Linked DNA regions of Caenorhabditis elegans. The protein of the gene in region 2 purifies or fractionates together with the protein of the main gene of each other region. This does not show direct contact. Each region holds a gene or a part of one and is shown on either strand. Other genes may lie near its edges. The genes, in order: eif-2gamma and trmt-6.

Evidence for each region.
Region 1: the proteins of trmt-6 (region 2) and eif-2gamma fractionate together in Caenorhabditis elegans (co-fractionation; one large-scale study listed by BioGRID). This does not show direct contact.

What each region holds. Positions count from the first base shown.
Region 1 is NC_003279.8:2,311,139-2,316,588, forward strand, and holds eif-2gamma (protein-synthesizing GTPase), read left to right. Parts: upstream 1-2,132; 5' UTR 2,133-2,172; coding exon 2,173-2,182; intron 2,183-2,236; coding exon 2,237-2,325; intron 2,326-2,369; coding exon 2,370-2,575; intron 2,576-2,632; coding exon 2,633-3,023; intron 3,024-3,857; coding exon 3,858-4,466; intron 4,467-4,517; coding exon 4,518-4,622; 3' UTR 4,623-4,854; downstream 4,855-5,450. Other genes in the region: 5-cytosine rRNA methyltransferase nsun-4, read left to right, coding at 1-36, 704-907; tbca-1 (Tubulin-specific chaperone A), read left to right, coding at 1,372-1,560, 1,612-1,758; ekl-7 (PEHE domain-containing protein), read left to right, coding at 5,171-5,251, 5,302-5,449.
Region 2 is NC_003279.8:9,141,214-9,145,990, forward strand, and holds trmt-6 (tRNA (adenine(58)-N(1))-methyltransferase non-catalytic subunit TRM6), read right to left. Parts: upstream 3,164-4,777; 5' UTR 3,157-3,163; coding exon 3,088-3,156; intron 3,004-3,087; coding exon 2,921-3,003; intron 2,370-2,920; coding exon 1,995-2,369; intron 1,881-1,994; coding exon 1,655-1,880; intron 1,606-1,654; coding exon 1,408-1,605; intron 1,352-1,407; coding exon 1,154-1,351; intron 1,038-1,153; coding exon 867-1,037; 3' UTR 758-866; downstream 1-757. Other genes in the region: ZK858.6 (Transmembrane 9 superfamily member), read right to left, coding at 1-92, 185-310, 4,280-4,384, 4,417-4,419.

The DNA.
Region 1 (5,450 bases), 6.8 Mb from region 2:
TACTCGACGTGCACACTCTCACCAAGCCAAAACGAGGTTTTCGCTCGAACCTGGTCTTGGCACGACAAATTTTTTTGTTAAATAGGAAAATATATGCGCCTTTAAGGAGTACTGTAGTTCCAAATTTTTTGTTGCATCGATTTTTGAAAAACTCCTTGAAAAATGATGACAAATATAGTTTTTTCTCGATTTGTAAAAAATTCGAAAATTGATGAAAAATCGATGAAAATTTTACAAAAAACGTGAAAAACTCAATTTTTCAAAACAATATTCGGCTATTTTCCAATTTTAGTTTAAAAAAAATCGCATTCTGCATTTTTTTTTGCGCTCCCTGCCGTGTTTGCGTATTTTCACCGCTACAGTACCCCGAAATGCTCAAATTTTGCTCTGATAGTTTCACAAAAGTTTAAAATGTGAAGAAATCGTTTCTTTTAACACTATAAATCTCGAATTTTCACTAAACAGTTGAGAAAATCAAATCAAAATTTCAAATTTTGACGATTTCCGTTTAAAAATTTGATTCTGGCTTCAACTCTCGCCCGATCCCAACATTTTCCCTCAAAAAAAATCCCGAAATTCTGCATGCATTTTTTCGTAGGATCCGGTGATTGCGTACTTTCGCGGCTACAGTACTTCTGGCGTGTCGAGACCGGGGTTTTTTGTCGAAATAACAGCTCAAAAATGCTAATTCAAATTTCTTCAGGCAGTCGTCGAGAACGCTGTAGCCGTCGTACGCAATGACTTTGGAATCGTGACCGTCGAGGAATCCCTACATCAACTCGTATCCCATATGACGTCATCAGGCCTCTATCGTTTCCATGACACTCCACTGGGAGCCCTCGTCGTGCCGTTTCTACCCTCTAACTTTGGACCAATGTATATTTGCAAACTGACCAGATTGCAATAGATTTTTAATATTTGATGAATTTTTTTAAATTTCTAGATTTTGCTATTTTTTGTTTGTTTTTTTTAAATCTGAATTTTTAAATTTATGTCTTGTTTTAAAATTTTATTATTTATGCAGTACCCCCATGGGTGCATCTGCCGTTCCATCAGTACCTAATTTCAAATTCATAGAATTTTTCATTGATCCTTCTTGTTCGTTCTCTATGTATGTATTGCGAAATCATTTGAACAGTCGATTTTTTGGCGGGAACCTGTGTCGCCCAACAGACAGCGGTCAATTTGTATTTATTTCGAAATCGCCGAGCGTGTCTGACCATCTGCTCGCTTTCCCGTCCTTTTTCGGCTCATTGAGCACAACATTTTCGGTGGTATTGCGCCTTTTTCTATCGATTTTTAGTCCATAAAAGCAAGCTCACAATCTCGTTCTCTGTTTCAAAAATTCACATTGCAGAACCTCCCGCCGCCATGTCGACCCAAGCCGATCAGCTGAAAGCGCTCCGAATCAAGACGGGAACCGTGCAACGTCTCGTCAAAGAAGTCGCCTATTACGAGAAGCAAGTTGTGAAGGAGGAGCAGAAGGCTGCCCAACTCGCCGCCGACGCCACCAACGAGGACGAGGAGTATGTTGCCAAGAAGTCGAAGGATATTGTTAAGGTTTTTTGAAATAATCCGATTTACGAGTATACGAAATTAAAATATTTTCAGGAAACTGCCAACATGGTCCGCGATTCTCAATCACGTCTCCAAAAAGCTGTGGCCGACCTCCGTGAATCGATTGCTTCTGGGAATTATCCGGAGGAAGCCGCAGAATTCGTCAATGCGAAGACGCTTGTGGACTCCATTTCTGCTTAATTTATGATACTCTTTTGTTATTTTGGGATTTTCGGTGATTTATGATGAATAATTATTGCATTTTACTTGAATACATGGTTTATAATGCCGTATAAATAATTTTAAGAAGCAATTTCGCTAATATTTCCATACGAAAAATATACAGATGTCCGTTAATTCAACGATTTTTGCCTGGTTCGCGCTAAAAAGCAAAACATAAAATTCGAGCTCGTAAATCGACACACGAAATCGCATCGAGACCCTTCCAACCACTCCCATGCGCCTTTAACCCATTTCTAATTTTATCCAATTTTAGCCTGTTTTCTATGCAATCTTTATGGATTTTCAATTAATTTTGAGTAATTTCGATTAATTATAATGATAATTTTTTAAAGATCAATAATCGACTCAACTGGGATCATAAAAACAAAAAATATGGCTTCTGGTAAGTGTTAGCTTTTCGGTTTCAAGAAAATTTCATAATTCTTTCTTAATTTAGAAGCTGAAAAGGACAAGTGCCAGAGCTGGCTTGCGAAACAAGATTTGGACAAAGTCGGAGTCGATAATTTGAACCCACTCACCGAGGAGGTACTGAAAATCAATAATTTTTGAGTTAAAGAGTTATTTTTCAGGTTATCTCTCGACAAGCCACGATTAATATCGGAACTATTGGCCACGTAGCCCATGGAAAATCCACTCTGGTGAAAGCGTTCTCCGGTGTGCATACTGTCAAGTTCAAAAGAGAGTTGGAAAGAAATATTACTATCAAACTTGGATACGCTAATGCAAAGATCTACAGATGTTCTAACCAAGAGTGCCCAAGGCCAGGATGTTACAGGTTATAATATCTCCCTGAAATTTAATTTAAATAAATAATTTTTGAATTCTAATTCAGATCCGCCGGTTCATCAACACCCGATCGGTTCCCATGCGAGCGCGCCGGATGCGGTGGAGAATTCACCTGTGTTCGCCACGTCTCATTCGTCGATTGCCCAGGTCACGACATTCTTATGGCCACCATGTTGAACGGAGCCGCTGTCATGGACGCCGCGTTCTTGCTCGTCGCCGGAAACGAACCATGCCCACAGCCACAAACATCTGAACATCTCGCCGCCGTCGAGATTATGCAGCTGAATCATTTGATGATTCTTCAGAACAAGGTCGATATTATCAAGGAGTCGCAAGCCCGCGAAAATTACGAGCAAATCGCCGGATTTGTGCAAGGAACGGTCGCCGAGAATGCTCCAGTCATCCCGATTTCTGCGCAGCTTAAATATAATGTTGATGTAAGGATCTGAATCTGGATTTAAATATACCACGCTCTCCTCAAGTGTTCATAATTATTAGAGCGCGCTCGCGCGGCACCACACGAACTCCAGAATTCGCGGGAATTCGTTTCGCGGGGACAGCAGTTTTTGGCTATATTCGGCTTCTATGGAAATTATTTTTAATTTTTTTGATTTATAATATTGTTGAGAAGCACCATCCGAATTGAAAATGTGTAAAATTATGAAATCTGACCGAAAACTGAAGTTTTTACAGAGAGGAGTCACCACGGCTTTCTTTAAAATGTATCAGTACCGTCAGTTTTTCGAATTCAGAGTCGTAAAATATGTCATTTTGTAAGTCTGTTTCACGAAAATCCATGTTTGAAATTTTAATTTTTTAATTTCTAATATAAAAATATTCAAAAAATCAACAATTTTACGTTAGAATCTAATTTTTTCAAATTTTCAGTTTTTCATAAGAACAATTTTAAAATTTCAAACATGGATTTTTGTGAAACAGACTTTTCTCTACAAAATAACATATTCTACGACTCTGAAATCGAAAAACTGACTGTACTGATACATTTTAAAGAAAGCCGTGGTGACTCCTCTCTGTAAAACCTTCAGTTTTCGGTCAGATTTCATAATTTTACACATTTTCAATTCGGATGGTGCTTCTCAACAATATTATTAAACAAAAAATTAAAAATAATTTCCATAGAAGCCAAAAACAGCCGCCTAAAACTGCTGTCCCCGCGAATTCTGGAGTTCGTGAGGGGCCGCGCGAGCGCGCTCTAATAATTATGAACGCTTGAGGAGAGCGTGTATACTAGATTAATTGCGATTTTTCAGCTCGTTTGCGAGTATCTTTGCAAGAAAATCCCCGTGCCAGTCCGTGACTTCAAGTCGCCGGCTCGTCTCATCATTATCCGATCATTCGATGTTAACAAGCCAGGATCTGAAGTTGAAAACTTGAAGGGAGGAGTCGCCGGAGGAACATTGACCAAGGGAATTCTGCGCGTCGGACAAGAAATCGAAGTTCGCCCGGGAATCGTCTCAAAAACCGCGACCGGTCAACTCCAATGCCGTCCGATCTTCTCCCGTATCGACTCTCTGTTTGCCGAAAAGAACCAGCTGGAATACGCCGTTCCCGGCGGTCTCATCGGTGTTGGAACGAAGATCGACCCGACACTCTGCCGTGGAGATCGACTCGTCGGTCACATCCTCGGAGCCGTTGGCACTCTTCCAGATATCTTCATCGAAATTGAAATCTCCTTCTATCTTCTGAGAAGATTGCTCGGAGTTCGTACTGAAGGAAAGAAGAAGGGAGCCAAGGTGCAGAAGCTTGTCAAGGAAGAGACTTTGCTGGTGAACATTGGATCGTTGTCAACGGGAGGAAGAGTTACTGCTGTGAAGGGAGACGCCGCGAAGATCAGATTAAACGATCCTATTTGCACAGAGGTAATTCCCACTTTTTATAAAATAATAAATTTAATTTGTATTTAAATTCAGGTTGGAGAGAAGATTGCCATGTCACGTCGTTTCGAGAAGAGTTGGCGCCTGATTGGCTGGGGAACCATTCGCAAAGGTCAAACCGTTGAGCCGTACAAGAACTAGCGGCTATCATCGATTTGTTGTCTACACCGGTTTTGACATATTATTAATCTTTTCCAATTGTTTCTCTCCGTTTTTGTCTCTCTATTAGTCCAAAAAATTTTGTCGGATCCCTGTTTTGGTTCTTTTTTCTGTCCTCCTCCTGTTTCCTACTATTCCACTTCCAGTTTCATTGATTATTTTTCTTTTTGTTGAAAGTGTGCTTGGTGTTTTTTCGATAAATTATTGGATTTGAGTAAAATCTGGAAATACATTTTATAATTGCAGCAAAGATTCAGGTTTTGAAAAACAAAACGAAAAGTGCAGGCTACAGTAACCCACCTTAAAGGGAGGTTTCATTCCTTGCGCAGATGGTCTCGCCGCGATGAGACTTTTGTAGAATGTTTACGGTGTTGTAGGCCGCTAGAAAATTTTCGAATTTCATCTGAATTTCTCTTTATTTTCTCCAATTTTCTCAAATTTTTGTTCGAAAATCTGAATAAAATGTATAAAACTTTTATTTTAACGCCTCGATCGGATAAAACATACACTCTAAATGATAAATTTCAGCGATGCCGGCCCCGAAATTCATCGAAGGTCCGAACACTGTTCAAACGTCACTTTACGGCTATGACAGGAGCAAGAAAGTGCAGGTAATACTCTGAATTGTGCGATTTTTTCCACCCACTAAAACATAACCTAGTTCCAGCTGAACAATTTACGCGGGAAACCAATTATGGTGCTCCGTTCTGATACGGTCATTCCAAAAAACGAAGAAGCACCTCCACCACGAAGCACCTTCGCCAAGAAGTGGGTCGATCGCAGTCGTCATATTCCGACAATTCCACTATG
Region 2 (4,777 bases):
TTGTATTGGATATCTCCATTTGCTGGTTTACAAAATGGAACCGAGTAGTATTCGAAAGGCATGATATTATTTGAGCTTGTCAGTTTAATAGCCTGTAAATTGCGAAATTAGATTTTAAAAGTTGGTTTCTTAACACTTTTTTCAGACCATGATATTTTTAATCGCGTTGCAGCGATTTTCTTACCTTGACATCGATCACATCTCCGGCTTTGAAATCAACCGGAGCCACTCCAGGCACATAAAATCCTTGCTCGAGAGGTATAAGAGTGGCGAGCACCAAAAGGGTGCTAGTTCGTAAATAAGCCATTAGCTGTAAATAATTTTGAGCTTATTTGAAAGAAAAATGTAATAGGAAGGGAATTAAAAGCAATATATTGACAATTTCTTAACCTAAATATTTGTAAAGCCCGTCAATTAATTAATTAAATTGAAATATACATAGCTAGAACTCAAAATACCGTTTAAAAGAGAAAATATTTCAAATATTTATAATATTCAAAAGCCTAGCAGAAACGTGGATAATCGCGCAAAAGCTTATCGGCTCGGCGAATCTCTTGTTGACACGCATGCGGCGCGGTATTGTGGGTGGGGCTAAATGGCGTGGATTGGTAATTTGCAAGTGTGACGCGCACTTTTTTGCCTATATTTGTTCAGTCAGAATTATGGCATTTTCCAGGAAGATATAATGGTTTGATAAAGAAAATAAATATTGAAGTATTGAACTGTACATATTATTAAATTTTAAGTGTAAAAGATTGAGGAAATATGCAATTTACTCGGAAAATTCAACAATAAAAAATAACAAATAAAATGCGAATACGGTGATCTGAAAAAAGAAAAACAACAATAACAAAAATAATAATAAATTATTGGTCAATAACTTTGATTCCAGTGAGAATATGTCCGCCAGCGACGTGCTGAGCCATTAACGGATGAGTTCTATCAGGTAGAACTTGCATTACACGACACATTTGATCAGTAAGAACTAAATTGATTGTTTGACGCTTTGACAACCAATCGTATGCTGAGATGAGGATCTGGAACAGAAAATAGTTTTTAAAAGGTTTTTTGAGTAACTGGAGCCAGAATTCAGTTAAAATGTAATCTGGTCACTTTAATGTGAAAAAAAGATAATATTTTATATAATTTTTACATTTTGATGAGGAGAGTAGATGACAATCGTCCCAGATGGTGCCAGTTTGGGATAAAGAAGCTCCAAAACACTGATAGGATCGACAGTACGACTTCCAATAATTAAAGAATGAATTTGTTCATCATTAATCAAATCGATTCCTCTCTTCTCCCGATCCAAACGATCATTTCGGCGAGCAAGAGCCTCTAGATCTTGATCCTATAAAATTTAAAAATTTATTTCCATCTAAAACGTTGTCCTAATTTTTCAATTACCTCGATTTTCTCAGGTTCCTTATCTCCATTGACTTCCTCCAAATTATCATCATCCCCATTTACAGCCTTTCGGTTATTGTCATATGGCAGATGTTTGCCTGCTAGAACACACTTAATTCGAACCGGTAAAAATGTGGAAAGTGTGTTATCATCGTAATTCATAGAATGAACACAGGGAATTGATTGAGCTACCGCACCCTGTAAAACCAATATATTTTGAAAGGATGTTTTTTTTCGAAGAATAAACCCTATGAATATGAATACAAGCACCAGTTCCACCGAGTCTTTCAATAACTGCAGAGGTAATAAGTCCAAGTGTTTGTTCAAATACGACGACATTCTTTCCATGGTGAAGCCCTGCCATTTGAAGAATTAATGCTAATTGATCAGCACGAAGCATCGCAAGACGATCAGGATCTTTCAAATAATAAGCTTTAGCCAGAAGACGGATGGTTGGACGGAGGATTAATACTCTGAAATTATTATTCGCAGAAGTAGAAATCGGCAAAACCCCACTTTTATCAATAAAAAACTCAAAAGCTTAAAATTCAAAAATAATTTAAATTTAAAAACAATAGCTGACGTACCGATCACTATGTTTTTTGGCTTTTCGTTTGATATATTTGCTCTGTGAAAAGACAGTTCTTGTCTGAAATGATGCTGAACCTTCAACAAGTTTGGCAACCATTTCCTGTCCACTGACTCCTTGCTTCTTCATTTCCAATACGGCATCCATTTCCAATTTTTGACGTTTTTGTTCGGGCTCAAGTTTAAGTGCTGAAGGCGCGATAACAACACGTGGATCTAAAGATGGTTCCGATGGTTCTGTTACTTCAGGATCTATGGATGAGGTGGCAACGGATGCTTCTTGAAGTTGAAGTTCTTCAATTAGACGATCAACTGACATTGGAAGGCATTGATTATTGGATACTTCGAATAGACCATGAGGCTTTCCAAATGCACTGAAAATATCATTCTTTCATTACAGTATCTTTTACCATCATTGTTCGGGTACCACATACAGTGCCGGCCTAAAATCTATCCAAAACCTTTTTTTTTTAGTGAATTTACAAGTTTTCGAATTTTTATAGATCTTAAAGAAGGAGGAACGGTTCTGGGTATTTTGGACGTATATAAGAAAAACCACAAAATAGTTTGCAGAGCATTCAGTTTACTTTTCCAATAGAAAAAACCACTTTAACCCCATTAATATTATCAGTTGAATCAATTGAACGTAGGGTCTGCTGCCCTTTTCTTTGAATTAATCAAACTGTTTGTCAAAGTGTTTGCACAACGATTTTTAATCGTCGAAAAAAAAGAAAAATTTATAATCGGTTAGTGACAAGGGGCGAGAATTGATATGTGACTTTTGAAAAACGGGGCACGTGTTTTATGTTTAGAATGCACTTTGACGTCACTGTGGTTTTTTTGTGATCAAAGTTTCATTTGAAAGAGCTCGAAAATTGGAAGTTATTCGGAAAATTATAATTAATTTTAGAACTGGAAACCTTACCTATCGGCTACAAACTTCAGCTTCTCAATGAGAATCTTTTGCTTTGGAGTAAACCGGACTATGCGACTTTGTTCGCCATCAATCTGAAAATTATTTTTTTTGCTGTAATTTTGTTCTTCAATTCAATTTTAATGTGAAAATTGAACTTTTTCCAATTCAAAAAATACCTTTTGCACGATAAGATACTCTCCACTTTTTATGAGTTTTTGTGATGTTTCCGCAGGTTCGGTTTCCATGTTTGATCTGAAAAATTTGAATATTCAATTGAAAATCGACGAGACGGCTACGAAAGGCAACAGAGAACGAACGATAAAGTAGTCAAAGAATATCGGGAAAAATGTGATAAAAGAGGGAAAATGAGAGATTGCAAATATTCGAATATTTGTTAGGAGAGGTATTGAATTGGTTTAAAGTTGAACTTTTACATCTTTTTTGAAATAGTTTTTTGTACTTTTAAACTGGGCAGTTTTTGAGTTCAAAACATTTGGAATAGCTTTCTCGGACTATTCAGATGCAATTGGATTCCGGACTGTAAGCTAAGTGTATTTTTTGAGAAAAAAAACTGAATAAGACAAAAAGCATTCAACAAAAATGTTTTTTTTGCACCCAGAAATATGTTTTTCGAAACAAAAACATCAATTGAGCCCAGGGTGAGGGTTTTTAAAAATTTTTTACTAAAAACCGAAATATTTTAGTTTTTCTTTCGATATTTCTAAAAAATGCAGTTTTTCAAAAAATAGCTTAAAATATTGGAAATTTTTATTCAGTTTGGACAAATTTTTTTAATGCTTTTTTTCGTCAATTTAAACAAAATTTAATATAAAATTTATTTTTATGGTTACTCTTCTGTATTTTTTTTTATTTTCAGATTTTTTGAATTAAAATAATTCTGAAATCACCGATTATTATGGGAAATTTGGTATTTCTTTTAGAAAAATTTTTGATGTGTATTGTGTCTTCTGTATCCAATTACAATGTCACAGTTTAGAGGAACAAGTACACAGAGAAGAAACTGTAGAGCGATCAACTGACGAGATGAAATTCAACGTGTGTTCATAATTGATAGTTGATATTTAGTGAACGATCATTCTTTGACGAACAATTTCTCTGTATCTTTTTGATTTGTTTCTCTTTAAATAAGATTGTAAATATAACATTTTTGAATTGGTTTCCATTTTATTTTTGAAAAAAAATCAATTTCCTTGTCAACAATATTTTGTTGATAATTGCCGCATTTCAAAAGAAAAAACTAGTTTTTCGTCTTCTACTCAACTTTTCTATTCTCCACTCTATCATACAAAGAATTATTAACAATACCCTAAACTCATCTTATTTGCTTTTTAAAGACTTTCAACCCACCGATCCGCGATTTGGGCGGTCTCTCGAAAAATTGTGATAAGACGATAAATCATCAAATAGAGATAGAAAGTGGTAGTGACGATAATAAAAGTGTGTGAAGGCGATCTTTAAAGATTGCTTGTTTGCCAACTGCCAACCATTATTGTTATAAAAGATACCCGAATGTTCTGATCAAGGTTACGTTATCAGTGAGGTTTTCCACGGAACTTTGGAGTCTTGTGATCTTTTTCAACTTTTTCTCTCAATCCGGTTATCACACATGTTCAAAACGTATTATTTTTGTTTACCGAAAATAGAAAAGTTCCTGAAATTTCGACTTAAATTTAGAAAACCTGGTAATAATGAACTTATATTATCGAAAAAATACGATCGCACAAATTTCTCATAATTTTGATCTACCTGTTGAACTTGACTCCGCTCCCAATCTTGATGCCGTTGTTATTTTGTTGTGGCTGTTTTATCAAAGGAAGGGGAGGAGCCTAGTCAACAAGGTAGATC